Arabidopsis thaliana: one gene and its partner. The protein of the gene in region 2 interacts with the protein of the main gene of each other region in a pairwise test. Each region holds a gene or a part of one and is shown on either strand. Other genes may lie near its edges.

Region 1 (6,257 bases), on a different chromosome or scaffold from region 2:
AAAGAAGGCATTCACGAATCAAAAAAAGTTGTCTAAACCTTATTAATGTGTCGTGTGTGGCGTAAAAGAAAATAAAAATGCGTCGTGCATGCGTGAAATTCATACTATTCATACTATTAGTTATTACACGTAGGTTGGGATTGCGATTCTTAGAAATGACCGGGTCCAGTTGGGCATACAGGCGGATGCTATAGGCCCATAAAAAGAAGTTTTAAACCTTTCTTTTGGGGGGTTTATTTTAAGTTACAAAACTAATTTCAAATTTTGTTACATTGTGTTAGGTTAGGTACGATTGTCTCTATACGCTTTTGTGGATAGTATTTCTTGTACACAACTTAACATTAGCAGATCGATATTTTTACAAGTTAACTTACCATCTAAAAGCATACATTGCATGCTTTACGCGTTATAACAAATCAACAAATACACCAATGCAGATTTTTCACATCGAAAACATGCTGCAATCGGTATTTTAAAAGTCCTATAACACGGATGACTCAACTCCATGATACAAAAAAGCCATGTATTAAAAAGGCTATTGGAAAGATTCTTAAACAATTCGTCAATACTTATGGCCTTGGACCTTCCAGATGATATTTATAACAGAAAATAAAAAGAATTATGAATTAGTACAAATGATAAATTACCTTAACCCGACCCCAACTACAATTATGGCCATACGCCGATGTAGGTGGTTCGGTCTAGAAGCATCACATGAAGCCTCTTTATATAACAAGAAGCGATATACTAATATGTGGCAACTTGTGAATTATATTCATATACACTTATATTCGATTTTTATTTTTATTTTCCTTTTCTCCAACGATCGGAAATTTGGGCAGAGGTCCAATCAAATTATAGGAAACAGTGGCGTGATGGATCGCAAAGGCACATATACTTTCATTTTTATGTTTTGAGAAATAAGAAAATTCATCAATTTGTAAATCACAATTAATATGTTTTGCCCAACTTGCAAAAAAATCGCAGCTACCCCACTTCCACTTGCACCGCCAACTCTTTCCCATCCCTTTTTTTTGTTTTTACACCTTTCGTGGCCACATTAAGTATGTATCTTATGAAGTTATGATTAGTAAAGCTATGCTATATTTGTCGATATTTGACGACCACAAAAATTAGTAATTGAAAGTTATAACATTTTGTGTATTTTTATGCTATTCCTATTATCGACTGAAAATTTTGTAGTGATGATGGTTACGTAACCATAGTGGTGAACCTCGATAATGATATTGCAAACATAGAAGTAGAAGGTTTTAGATCTAAGGAAAATGAAATCTTTCATTTCATACGATTCATGTTTTGTCGATCAATCACATATCTTTTTGTGGATAGAAGTGTAGAAACCTCTCGAATATATTGAAAAAAACACATTTATATAATTATATTCTAAGAGATCACTTGGAAACGAAACATATCGTGACTCTCGTGATGTAAAAGGACATGCAACTTGCGCTTCTCTCTATTCCATATTTCTTTATTATTATACGAAATTTAATATTATATCTTTTGGATTGGGAAGAACCATAAAGAAAGGAAGTAAAAGATAAAAAAAATTGCAACTTGCATTTTCTTTATATCAAGCGGGAAAAAAAAAGAAGAAGAGAACAGCTTGGCTTGTTGGGTTATCATTCAAAGCATCGTCCACTTGCAAATTTTTATTTCTTTAAATTCATCAACATGTTCGTTTTTTATTTTTTATATTTTGACGGCCATGTTCATATTTTTGTATACATGTATGTTTTGTCCATTTTACGCAATTACCTTTAAGCCTGAAAATCCCCAACTACTCCCTATTTTCTACCAAATAGTTTATGATGACAAATAAAAACTTCAAATCTTGAATTCTCTATCAAATGTTTGATTTTTAAATAACAACTTCACGCTCAATCGGTTATTTTAATTATTATGAAATAATAAGAAAGTAAAAAGTTTGAGGACCTAGTTAAATCATAGAGGAAAGGAACACATTATATTATGCCCAAATTTAAAGTTGCCTTTAAGAAAAATCGTCGAATTTCACAAAAGCTGTTTATACGTACGTAAATTTATCTACACACATTAGATGGCCAACAACTCAATGTAACGAGTTAATATACATCCGAGTCGAACATCATATTGTACCATTTCATTTACGCTTTTTCTGATGAAACTATAGAAAAACAAGATTAATTAAACTTGAAAATCACACTTTTAATTAGCGGACAACACAACCACATTCTTTCAGTTTGAATATTATTATCTTTGGGTGGTGAAAGCCGGAATAGGGCTATCCAAATCGGTTCTTTATGGGATATGTAAAATACAAAAATTAAAAGAAGGATTATGATATGCATGAGAGATTAATTCACTAATGTAACTTTTTTTTCACACATAAGCCGAAAAAACATAGATCACACGACGGCTAAAAATCTAGAAAACGACGTCGGATCTAACGAAACTACCCGACAACGACAAAGACTCATCACAGAGACATCTTCTTCTTGCTCTCAGCCGCAGTATTCTCGGCTATTTTCGCAAGAGATTGAAGATTGCATCGTACGATAACGTCAACGAAGTCACAAGTCTCTTCCTTTGTGTTGCCTGGAGGAACATCAACGACGTAAGACTCGACAACGACGGTCCCGGAGATCGGAGAAGGGTGAAGGGTCGTTACGGATCGGTAGTTAGAGAGCCGGTGGTCACCACCAACAACGCTGAAGCTGATGACGTGGCGTTCGTCGTCGAGGATATCGAGTCTCTCGGTGGAGCTAGCGGCGGGGAGACCAGAGACGACGTGGACTTGACGGAGGCTACCAACGTTATCGCCGTCTCCGCCGATGACGCTACAGCTTTTGAGAAAGTGTTTGTAAGCTTGTGGGTTATCAAAGCGGCGTACGACGGACCAAACGGTGGAGATTGGAGCGGAGATCTCTTGAATAACGGCGGAGCAACACTGATTAGGACCAACCTCGTGTGTGTGAAAACGAGCGGCCGTGGAGTCGCGTGAGAGAGAAGGAAAACGTTTTTGAAACGACGCGATCATCATCGGAATCTGAACGGAATCTCCGTCTGATACGGCGGAAGAAGGACGGTGAACGGCAAGCATGTTGATCTGAGTAATGGTGTCTTCTTGATTTCAAATCTTGATCTCTTCTTTGAGATGGTATTAGGGCTTAGAAAAAAAACTGAGGATTGAAGAGGAAAGTGTATGGAGGAGAAGTATGTGTGTATATAAAAAGAAGCAAATCAAACTTTACAGCGACTTGCGAAAAGTTGGGCTGTGCCTTTCGATTTGAGAGAGATAGAGTTTTTAATGCAGAGTTCATGTGAGTGGTGATAACGAAAAAACCGAGCAAGTTGCTTGTTGTGAAATTACGGTTTTGCCCCTTGCTATAGTTGTTGACTTGACTGTTTTCTATACACGATATTTTTAATTGGGCAAGTGACCAATATATAATTCTCGTATATCAACACTAGAATTATAATATGGGTTTAGACTTTTAGTTTCTTGACCATAACTTTTTTCTCTTCTTCTTGAAATGACCAAGGTATATCTAGGACGAGATTCGTTTGATTGAATACGCTTTAAGAGTTTCGATATTTGGAACGATTGGAATGTAAGATCAAATTCATCAAAACATACAAAGTGAGAATTCTTTCAACTTAGAAGTTCTTCAATTGTTATTTCATAGTATGGCTAGATATATGAGTTTTCAATTGCATATATCTAGCCATACTATATATATGAGTTTTCAATTGCAAAAAAAAAAAAGGTTTTCAATTGCATCAGATGCAAATCTAGATATTTGAAGTATTCAACATCAGAGCCGAATACCACAAAACTAAAAGTGGTACAACCATATATTTAATTACCTGAGAGATTTGATGAACAAGCAGAAGGAGGAACTTTTTGAATGAAAAGTATTGTATTGCTTTTGCTTTGATATGATCTTCAATATACAAAAAAAGGAGCACACAAACAAAAGGGCATGAAAAACCAATCCTCACTAAGAAACACATTTTAAACTATACAAACTAAGGCCCAAATTGTTTTTAGAACCAAACTTTTAATTGGGCCGTATTTTGGAAAGAAAAACTGGTCTATCACAACATACTTTTGTTGTTTGGTTTGGTTACGTTGGCTATAGTATCTAGCTTCGTTATAGGTTGTCTCTTCTTCTACATTGTAACTAGTATTATAGATTTCTATTATTCTCTAGGATATTAGAGTTTACCTAAAGATGTGGAGTTGGCTGATCAGACACAACAAAACGTTCGAAGATATATTTTTGTTGCCGTCGAGGAATTCAATTTCGAGGTTGGGGAAGAATGTGTCGTCTGCCTTGAAGAATATAGCGAGTCTAGACATCCATTGGCCAAGTTGGAATGCCGTCACCGGTTCCATTTTAGCTGCATAATAATATAAACACAAAACATTTACTTGATGCTCTGTTTTCAAGCATTCTGTCTTGTTTCTTTACATTCATAACTCTGGGTTTTCAAACCTTTAACAACTCCGGACATGGACACAAACCCCATCTTAATGATAAGTCATAATACAATGCTATTAGTTCTTTATAATTGCTGTAAATTTTGAATATAAATTTTTTTGATAAGAATAGATTAATATTGTGTATTGAGCTTCACACACATCTTAATATATAAAGCAAAATTAATTCAGTTTTTGTTAACTTAAAATTATCATAAAAATCAAAAACTCGCACAAAGGACGGGTTCTAATATAGTTGATATATATGTTTTACATCTTTTCTTGCTAACATTCTACTAATATCTATATATCTACATAAAAGTACTAGAGAGAATTACCTGCAAGTGAGATTTGAGATATACACAGATGAGTGTATAATATGGTCAGCGGGTCAGGATATGTAACTTTTGTTTGATTATGGGTTTGAAAATGTGCAAATAGACAGACATTACTTCAACTAATTGAGAATAATGTTGGATCCGTATTTGTAGGAATAAAAAATAACTGTTAATTAGAGGTTGACTTCACAGTTCACAAGTCGGGTTCGGGTGTACAAGAATCTTGTCAGGTCACACCTAACTCTTATGATCGTCTCTTAGTTTTTTTTTTCTTTTTTTTTCACAGGCTTAATGGACCCTTTTGTCTAATTTGATGGCATATCTCACAAACCATCCAGTTCCATGTTTTTATAAACATGCTTTTTAAACCTTTAAAATGAAGGACACAAATTAGGATTCTCGGTGCAAAATTGCATGTGGACGTGTAGAAGCAGAAGGAAGATGGAAATTAAGTGTAAAGAAGAAAGGAGTGGTGACGAGAAGCTTGTGAAGGATCGATGGCAAGTCTCTTTACACGTGGGGGGAATGACAAAGTTCTTCTTTTTTCTACTTCATCAAAGCTTACAATTTCCTCTCCTCAACAACTTTTTTTGTTTTTTTTGGTAGGGAACAACTTTTTTTGTTTGGCTAGCAGAATTTTATTTACTAACTGGAAAATATGAACTTAAGCCTATAGTTTAATCTCATGAACTCATAATCTCCATTTAATTCTGCAACGAAGTTTTATTGGATGGCATGTACCCGAATCTATAGTAGATATATACAACTGGAAAACAGTATTGTATATTGTTTTCGTGATGCACCAAAAACTTATGATTGAAATTTACGTAGAAATAAAACAGTACAATTTGTTAGACATGTTAATAGAACTGATCTTGTGAGTGCTCATATTTCTTGGAATTCCAAGAGGACTTCGAAAGCATAATTGGATCTAAAATATATTATATCATAAGCATATATACGTGAGAATGTATTTATCTTATTGTTTTCATAATAGAAGTGGTAAAGGTAAATATTCAAACTAATTGTCGAAATATGCGGAAGAGGTAGTATTCAATGGCTTACGATGACTAAAATCGTAATTACAAAAATCACCATAAACTCGTCTAAAAAGACTTTCTTTGCAATTAAAATTAAACCATATAGGACTTCGATTTATACGGTGTCAAATTTTATAACTATGTATGTTAATATTACATATTTTTGGAACGAACGATGTAAAAAAACGGCTCAACTAACAACGCTATTCATCGCTTCACGGGGTCGGATGTGTAACGTAAACCAAGCAAGGACCACTTTACACATAAACTAATTCTCTCATACGAATCTACAAAAATACATATAAAGATAATATATAATTTTGGGGTAAGAGAGGAGCATTGTCCCGTGATTCTCGTCGAACAAAAAACAGAAAAAGAAAGAAAGAAAGAGGT
Region 2 (9,945 bases):
CTTAGCTGCTCTCACTTCTCTTGGCACCTTCGAATTCGCCGCCTTCTCCTTCACCTCCTCTTCCTCTGTTTTTCCTCCTTGCAATTCCTCCACCTCTCACATCATCAGTGAGTCTCAAAGATTTTGATTTTTGGTAACTTCTTATGTATGTTTTTTTTTTTGGTTTTTGGTAATGAAAATTTGTTGATATGTAGATATGGTTGCAAGTATAGACCGGAAACTGAAATGGAAGAACAAAGTTGAGATAGAAGAAGAAGATGAAGTGAAACTTTTGGTCTCTGCTTGGGATAATTTATTACTAAATGAAGAAGACTTCTTGAAGAAGGTAGGTATTAACAAATCCGATGTACCAAATGGTCCACATTTGGAGAATTGTGAGGAGAAGGCTCGAGTTAGGGAGCGTTTGGATACACGTTTGGCGAACTGGACACTTCCTCCTTGGGTATGCTTCTTCTTTTTCTTGTTCTTTGTCATCAAGCAATTAGTATGGTGAATGAACAATCAAAAGCTTGTGTTTTAGATCAGTGGAGGAGATGAAGAGAATTATCCGTTAACGAGGAGAGTGCAAAGAGATATATGGATTCATCAGCATCCTTTGGATTGCGGAAACAAGAGTCTCAAGTTCCTTGTAGCTGATTGGGAAACACTTCCTGGTTTTGGAATAGGAGCTCAGATAGCTGGAATGACTGGTCTACTCGCGATAGCTATAAATGAAAACCGAGTGCTTGTTGCAAATTACTACAACCGAGCAGATCATGATGGTTGCAAAGGTACATAAAGGCTTTAATCCTTTGAGTCTTCACTCTAACATATAGCAGCAACTATCACAAATTACATCTTCTTGGTTAATCTTCTTATCAAGATGTTTTAGACGCTGAAAAGTGTATATAAGAACCAAACTTTGGATTTGATTTGGTGTTTCTCTTTTGTTTTGATGCAGGTTCTTTTCGTGGAAACTGGTCTTGCTATTTTCTACAGGAAACGTCAGAAGAGTGTCGAAAACGAGCCTTTGCGATTGTGAAGAAGAGAGAAGCGTGGGAGAGTGGGATTGTTACAGGGAAACAAAATTATAGCACAAAGGAGATTTGGGCTGGGGCTATACCAAAGCAATGGGGTAAGCCTTGGAGTTATATGAAGCCAACTACAGAAATCAACGGAAGTTTAATCTCCAATCATCGGAAAATGGATCGGAGATGGTGGAGAGCACAAGCAGTGAGATACTTGATGAGATATCAAACAGAATACACTTGCGGTTTGATGAACATTGCTCGAAATTCCGCGTTTGGAAAAGAAGCTGCCAAGATTGTTCTTTCAGCTGGAGATTGGAGAAAGAAGAATAAGAAGATGAGGACAGAGATTGAGGAACAGGTGTGGTCGGATCACAAGCCGTGGCTTCCAAGGCCAATGCTGAGTGTTCACGTACGGATGGGAGACAAAGCATGCGAGATGAGAGTCGCAGCTTTAGAAGAGTACATGCATTTAGCTGATCGGATCAGAGATCGGTTTCCAGAGCTCAACAGGATCTGGCTCTCTACAGAGATGAAGGAAGTGGTGGACAGAAGTAAAGATTATGCTCACTGGAGATTCTATTACACGGAAGTGGCAAGACAAGTCGGTAATAAGTCGATGGCTGAGTATGAAGCGAGCCTCGGGAGAGAGATGAGCACAAACTATCCTCTGGTTAACTTCTTAATGGCGTCAGAAGCTGATTTCTTCGTCGGAGCATTGGGTTCCACTTGGTGTTTCCTCATCGATGGTATGAGGAATACGGGTGGGAAAGTCATGTCTGGTTATCTCAGTGTCAATAAAGATCGGTTCTGGTAACTTTGCGAGTTCCACACTATGTACATAATAAGACTCCTCTCCTTTTTTCTTCATCTGTTGCACAAAGAGTTTTCAGTATAATAAAGGGAGGTTTGGTTGACAAACAGTTCAGAGCAACCGCAAACCAACTAAACCGATTCCGATGTGAAGATTTGAAGATCAACTGAACAGAGCAAAGTGGCTTTTCCTTAAGAATTTCACAAATAAAAAGACATCACTTCAAGATCAATAGTAATAACACAACCAACCTCTTCTCATCTCAGTGACATCCTGTGTCTTCAGGAACCAACCAAAAATTAAAGGAACTATAGCATTGAAATTCACAAGTCTCAACATCTGGAGATGATGAAGTAACACCCAGAGATAGAAACATCAGAGCAAAGTGAATGCAATACAGGTGAAGAAGACTGTAAAATCTAGACGATTGTTAATAAATATAACTGTAGAATCAGCTAACAAATAAAGAGAAGTTAGAAAACAAATCCAAGCTAAGTATGGTATTCAACAGAGGATACTACCGGCTTTTCGTTTGTTTTTCACTTTCCTTCCTCAACAAAGCTCCAAATGTTCTTCTCAGGGACTTTACATTTCTCTTCTGCATGATTAAGTTATATTATGAAATAATAACATTTGCACAAGCATCAACATCAAAGTTTTTTCAGTTTCTTTTTTTTCTAATCCTTTTCCACTAGTTTTATCTTCTAGACACTACGGTTTTCCGTTGACTTACCTTTATGAACTCAAAAGGGAGCCTCCAGCGACGACTCATCCCAAACCTCAGCACTTCCATTAGATGCATCTTCAACATCTTCTTCCATTGATAGCCTAATATACTCTCTATGTGCAAAACGGTCCCAATCTGTCAATGTAGGGTTCTCTCGCTCCTGTTTCCGTTTGACATTAGAAATGTTATAAGACGCATGTGGTGGTGTGAAGAAGTAGCAAGGTAAATTAGATGATTAGTACCTGACGAATGAGGAATGGATCCCGGGTTTCAAATGCCATAAATTTGTTGAGATTAAATAGGATGTTGAAGACGTTTCCAGAGAGCTTTGAGCCTTTCAGGTCATGCAGCGTTATATGGCTTTCGTTCTGTGGAAGGAAATAAAAAACAATCAAACACAAAACAAAATCACAAGACTCAGAAAGAAAACTGGGAACACAAACTACTTCTGTGACTATACTAAATATAGAAAGAAGAAAACAAGAGATATATTGTTGAACCTCAGGTCCGATCATATCAATCATCTGACATAAGATATCCTCGAAAAGAACAGCCTCTTGCGCCATGCACTCCATTCTATGCAACTGCTCTTCATAAAAGAATTGCATCTCATTTCGCGTAATAATCCCATTTGCATCCAAGTCTATGCACTTAAACCTAGTCCAACGTATACTTGTGTCAGATAAAAGACTTAAAATGGTATCTGTCTGCAACTTTCGGACCCTTCTATCACAACTTACCAATATTCTAGGCTAGGCACTGACGATTTATCTTCTTCCGCAAGAATGAAATAGACAAAGTCCTCATACCCCATCTTCCCTTCAACTTTGTTAGTGAACTTCCTAGCAACCTGAGAAGAAACCAATGCATCTTAAGAGCAATAATAACTTTGAACGAGGAAAGAACTCTTAAAATAGAAGCAATATAAATAAAATCTTCAAGTAGTAGGCATTAAAGAGCAAGGTTTTTTAGACAGAACCTGGGAGAATATTCTGTCGACAATCCGGTAGGTAAGAGCATGGTTTCCATATCGCATAAGATTTTCTTTGTCAATCAGGAAATCGTGATCCGTATCCAGCTCCCAGAACTTGCAGTATATGACATAGAAATGCTCATACGAGAAGTATCTAATTGCCAAAGTGAATAGAAAAGTGATGTTAAATGAGCAAAAACAATACTATAAATACAACAATAGCACGCAAATATTTTTGTCAGTACCTCAACACTTTGTTAATATCTTCTTCTTCATCAGCATGTAGCATAGCATCAATTAAGTTTCCCCGTTTAAGCTCCCTAAATGTAATTCGACCATTGCCAGATCTATTTATGTAATAAAATATTCGGTAGGTGACAGTTTCAGCTGTTTCAGCAAAATACAAATTGTATCAGACAGAAAAGCATCCTTAAAAATTTAGCTTTGATACCGGTAGCAGCAAATACCAAAGAATATGGACTCCAGATATCTAGAAAGCAATCAAAGTGTTCTCGGGAATTCATTACTAACTGACGCATGATTCATAAACAAGCTCCAGAATTTATTTTTTCTGATATTGATTATATCTGCAGGATTCATAGACTGAAGATGATTCATTCCGTGCTTGAAAGCTTTATGGATTTGCAAGTTATAAGATGATGTCTAACACAACAAAACAAAGAAACCGTATCTTATAAAAATTTTAAAATCCATACAGAGTAATGCCACATTTATTACTGTATCTCGATGCATCAATTATCAAAATTATTTATTTCACTAGAAATATTATTGATGTGGTAACCATTCGACAGATTTAGATAAGTACATGGCAAACTTATTCACTCATTCTTCTCAACTAGGGCTGTAGCTACCAATATACTTCGAAGAATAAAATGTACAATCAAACTCAATTACTAAACACCATTACTCAAGCAATATCAAGAAGAAATACTATTGATCTGGTAACCATCTGACAGATTTAGATAAGTACATCATACCAAAGTGGCAAACTTATTCACTCATTCTTCTCAACTAGGGCTGTAGCTACCAATATACTTCAAAGAATAAAATGCACAACCAAACTCAATTACTAAACACCATTACTCAAGCAATACCAAGCGGAAAAAGAAAACATGAGATAACTTAGGATACTAAAAATGTAAATAAAGTTGAGACCTAACCATATCTTTCTTGGAATTCAGGTGTGGATTGCAGGAACTCTAGCCCAGGATGCGTCGCCAACAGTTCTTTGAGTAGTGGTTTGAAATCATCCTGCCATGAAAAAAAGAAAAGAATCTGGAATATAATAAACTCGCTCTCATGACTGACTGAATATGCAAATCTTAAAAGAAAATAACCTTAACAATGAAACTCTGATCTTTCTGCTTTAGTATCTTGAAGATTTGGGTCGTTGTATCCATTATCAACATGTTCCCGTTTACCCAAAAATCAATAAATGCATCTCTGTAGAAACAAACACGAAAAACTGTTATACTGGGTGGTGTTTCAGTAAACTATGCAGACATGAAGAGGAAGCACCATACAAAAAAAAAAAAAGCATAGAAGAAGCGGCACACACCTAGTAACAAAACCTGTATTGTTGAGATCGATCTTCCGGAAAAGGGAAGTGGAGAAGAAAGATGGGAGCTTGCAGATTTCTCTGGTGACTAACTTGAATTCTGAGTATTGATTGAAAATGGAGAAAAAAGTTAATAAACAGTTCAAATATAATTAGTAGAAAACAAATGACTGACTTCTAACCTTGTATCTGCAAGCCATCCATGTGACCATAAAAGAAGTGATTGATTCTAAACATACATTGCTCTTTAATCTCGCTTGGTGGAGGGCGACCATTTTGGAAATAAAACTAGAATCATTTCAAGTTAAGAAATCAGTGAGTTAACTCCATTCCATTACTATATATATATAAAGAAGGAAGAAAAAGAGGAAAAGAAACCTGAGGTATAGGCTCTTTAACAGGCTCGTTGACTACTTTGAGAGTAGAACCTAAGTTAGAAGGGGCTCTCTGTTTGGTTGTACGGGGTGAACCACAACTCCTTGGTGAAAGCGGAGGAGCACTTCCCGCAGGAAACATAGATGGTATAGTGGCAGAATTAGAACCCGATGCACTTCCAGTAACATTGATAGGAGCTCCAGCTACAGCATCCTTAAGCAATGATCCAACCTAGAAAACCAACGAGAAAAAGATTAGACTAGAGATTCCAGTGAATAGAGAGTAATTAAGCAACCAAATCTCATTAACCACCTAAGGCATCATTGTCATAACTCACACAATCCAAGAAAGATTCAAACTTTACACCAATCTTCAACACCACAGAGTAATTTAGCAAACAAATCTCATTAACGTAAGCTTCATTGTAATACTCACATAAGAAAATAAGAATATACGTCATAACTCACAGAATCAAAAAATGATTCAAACTTTACACCAATCTTTCAACACCACAGAGTAAATCTCAGTAACCTAAGCATCAATGTAACACTCACCAACACTATCAAAGAAAGATACGAACTTTACACCACAGAGTAATTAAGCAACCGAATCTAAGTAACCACCTAAGGCATCATTATAATACTCACTAACACAATCAGAGAAATATTCGAACTTTACACCATTCTCAGTAAGCTAAGCATCATTGTAATAACTAACACTATCAAAGATCCCAACTTTACACCAATCCTCAACAGAAACCAGAGAGTAATTAAGCAACCAAATATCAGTAACCACCTAAGGCATCACTGTAATACCCACTAACAGTATCAAAGAAAGATTCAAACTTTACACCAATCCTCAACACCACAGAGTAAGTAAGCAACCGAAGTATCATTGTAACATTACGAAAGAAAGATTCGAACTAACAGAGAGTAAGCTAAGAAGCATGAGTGTAAGAATAGTGAAAAAGCAGAAACCTGTCGCTGAGCTTCGGGAAGAGAAAGCCACTGGTCGAAGAGCTTCTGAGTGAATCCAGGTTTAGAATTGAGAACAAAGGAAGACATTTCCTGAAGCTGCAACAAATCTGCATCCAAACAAGCCATATCTCCGGGAATAACCGTATCCACCATATTTAATCAATCGCATCAAAGTCGAGAAGATGAGAGAATGATCTTTGAGGCGAGCGAAATTGGAATTTTGAACAAAGTCGAGATCTTCTTCACCAACACATCGAATCTAGTCTTCCTTCTTCTCCGATTCCGAACAAGGAAATGAGACAGCCAAATTCTTTTATTTATTTATTCTTTTGAGCAATCTGAAATAAATAAATAAATTAGAGAGATACCCAAAAAATACTTGAAACACAAAAAGTTGATTTTAAGGGTTTATAATTTATTAAATGTTTGGGTTTGAGTTAAGTTTTTTGGGGTTTAGGGTTTATTTTTTAGAGTTTAGGATCTAGTTTTGAAAACTTTAAAAGTAATTTTGTGGTATTTTCAGAAAATAATATATTTTAGTGGTACTTTCAAAAAAATATAAACTACTAATAATGTTTTATAACAAAAATTAATTTTATGGTATTTTTAAAAATATGTCCATAAATAAATTAATATTTCGTTGACTAAATAATAAAAATAAGTAAGTGTATTTGAAGTAGAAATTTTTTTTCTCAACATGTGGTTGGATTCTTGATTTTTTCTATATTTTGTCAACCACACATTAGTTAAAATATTACTTCATAATTGGTAGTCCAATCTTAAGGAAAAATATTTACGAAACAAATTTCATATAATATACTATCTAGAGTAACGAGTTAGACAATCTACCTTATACAAGAGCCATGGATTCTAGAAAGAAAGAAAGTTTTATATATCATATAAAAAATACTTGACGAATGAGAAACATATGATGTGTTTCATATCATGTTTTCCATATTTCATAAGATTTTCTTTGTCAATCGGGAAATCGTGATCTTTATCTTTATCACATAAATTATAATATATGACATAGAAATGCTCTTATGAAAAGTATTTTGTTGCCAAATAAATAGAAATGTGTTGATATCAAAAAAACTAACACAAAACTATAGTTTGCAAATACGTGTAACTTAAAGTCTGACTCAATATTTATAACAACAAGAAAAAAAAACTATTTTTGTTAGTATCTCAACACTTTGTTGATATCTTCTTCTTGATCACCATAAAGCATATCATCAATTAAGTTTCCACGTTTAAGCGTTCTAATTGTATGTAGATCATATCTAGATCGATTTATGTCATAAGATATTTTATAGGTAACTATTTCAACTAGTCCATGGAAATAAAAATTGCATTCTTGAAAACCTGAGACATGGTAAAATCTAATCAGGTTCACATAATTTTTCTTGACTAAATCACATATCATATATAATTCATGTACTTTTACCAAATTTAGCAAAATTATCCCCTTATTAACAACATTAACTAGGGAAAAGAAAAACTATAGTAATCTGTCATTCATCAGATCTCGTATGTTCTATATCATCTTCATCCATGTAATTTCTTTCTAGATTACCTCATTTGCCCACAAAGACATCAAAAGAGAAATTATGATGGTCACTACAAAACTTAAGAGGCAAAATATAACGTAAATTATATATATGAAAGGAGCTCAACTCTCTCCCACAACTTGACACATCAGCACATGAGAGCTTGCCACCTAGACTTATTAAAATAAGTAAAATATAATTAGTAATTAATTCAACATATGAACCTATCATAAGTAAGAACTTCAACCATCACTCTTTCTATATTTTTAAATATTTTCTTGAGCACTATTAACCTTAAATTTGTAACAAATCCTCTAACATGTTGATTTCATAACAAATTTAGCTGGTGAAATGTGTGTCGATCAATTAGAAAATATAGTTGTTTTTTATAAAATGATAGGAAGAAAAATAAACGGTAAATTATAACGATTGTGATTCTTTCAAGTTATTTTTTAACGTATGAAGTTCATATATGTTGGTATGGTGTTATTAAAGATATTAAATTATTATGATTATAGACATAGGCGATTGGGTTTAAAGTTTACAATTACGCTCACTTGGTTGGTTTTGCCAACACAAATCTTCCATTACCTGGTAAATATTTACTAAACATATGATTTTCTATTTAAAATATCTAAATATTAACATTAGTCTCAGCTTGAAATTATAAATATAATAGAAACATTATTGTATTATACGAATCTTAAATATTTACTATTCTTGGTTAATAACAACTGTGAAGAAAATAGAGAAGAAGAAAAAAACCAATAATCGAAATTACAACTAAAATCAAATTGAAAACAATACTAACCTGGTTTAGTAAGGCAATAAGTGTAATAAGTGATGTTACCTCGTCACCAGTGGGAAAGATAAGGAGGAAATACGCGGCGACTGAGCCAAAAAGCTGAGCAATCAAGTAGAAAATACCACTGAGGAGAATGATGTTACCTCTGACACACTGAGAAAGACACCGAATGTAACGACAGGGTTAACGTGGCCACCAGAAATGTTAGCGACAACAGAAACAAATAACAAGGAGACCTAAAGCATGAGCTAAGGCAGCGGCGACGAGGCCGGTAGGAGTGGTGGCTCCATTGTTAGTGAGCTTGTTGAAAGCAATTCCGGAGCATGAGCCAGCGAAGACGAAGATCAAAGTCGAGATAAACTCTGAGAGCACAACCCTAAGTGCGTTCAGATAATAGACCTCTTATTGGAATCCATAAAAGGCGATGTTTCTGGTCACCATGATTGGTGAATTATTGAACAGCTGAGGTTAAAAGCTTTTTGATAAAAGAGAGTGAAGATATTGGTTTGGTTTTCGTATATATATGGCCGAGTGTTTTATACTTCTTAGTAGTTGTAGTTAAAATCCATTTGTTTGTCATATAAACATATTATTTAGCATTTTTCAAATCAAATTTTTAAAACAAATTAAATTGTTTTTAATTTGGACAACTATAATAATACATTAGGTGCATGTTTTAAATTGTAACAGAAAAAGAAAAATGAAATTTACAGATATTCGAATGTAATTTTTTGTTAAATCTTAACATACTATGTATACATGTTGAATTGTCGACTTTGATATTCCAGACGCATGCCTTTCAATGTACCGACAACAGTAGCTGGAACCTTTGATCATTTGATTCACCGATGCCCCAGAATGATATTTTATTTTTACAGAAGGCTTAGTTCCAACTAATAGATTTGACGATTAATCATCCTAAGAAACAACGGAGAATTGCGAAAGCCATCCGACGAGATAAAATTCGTCAAACAACAGTAAAGCAAATTAAATTAGATATGAACATAGATCGATAGACGATTAACAAATCCCTACTTGAAGGCTGAAGCATAAAAAGTCTTTGTTTGTGTCGGACCAATTTAGGGTATATTAAAAAAGTAAAGGCTGATAGAAGGATAAAGCACAAAAATACCAAAAC

What was found. Proteins that work in one complex are often made in the same cells at the same time.
Region 1: the proteins of AT5G28900 (region 2) and PYL4 interact in binary tests that used the Arabidopsis thaliana proteins (3 or more experiments, as listed by UniProt).

The regions. Positions count from the first base shown.
Region 1 is NC_003071.7:16,047,097-16,053,353, reverse strand, and holds PYL4 (PYR1-like 4), read right to left. Parts: upstream 3,437-6,257; 5' UTR 3,104-3,436; coding exon 2,480-3,103; 3' UTR 1,998-2,479; downstream 1-1,997. UniProt on the Arabidopsis thaliana protein: Receptor for abscisic acid (ABA) required for ABA-mediated responses such as stomatal closure and germination inhibition. Inhibits the activity of group-A protein phosphatases type 2C (PP2Cs) when activated by ABA. Can be activated by both (-)-ABA and (+)-ABA.
Region 2 is NC_003076.8:10,922,512-10,932,456, reverse strand, and holds AT5G28900 (Calcium-binding EF-hand family protein), read right to left. Parts: upstream 6,823-9,945; 5' UTR 6,606-6,822; coding exon 6,453-6,605; intron 5,707-6,452; coding exon 5,479-5,706; intron 5,389-5,478; coding exon 5,283-5,388; intron 5,201-5,282; coding exon 5,101-5,200; intron 4,986-5,100; coding exon 4,880-4,985; intron 4,794-4,879; coding exon 4,703-4,793; intron 3,909-4,702; coding exon 3,767-3,908; intron 3,676-3,766; coding exon 3,528-3,675; intron 3,399-3,527; coding exon 3,289-3,398; intron 3,206-3,288; coding exon 3,049-3,205; intron 2,917-3,048; coding exon 2,791-2,916; intron 2,709-2,790; coding exon 2,565-2,708; 3' UTR 2,555-2,564; intron 2,420-2,554; 3' UTR 1,995-2,419; downstream 1-1,994. Other genes in the region: AT5G28910 (alpha-(1,6)-fucosyltransferase), read left to right, coding at 1-107, 195-442, 521-770, 941-1,824.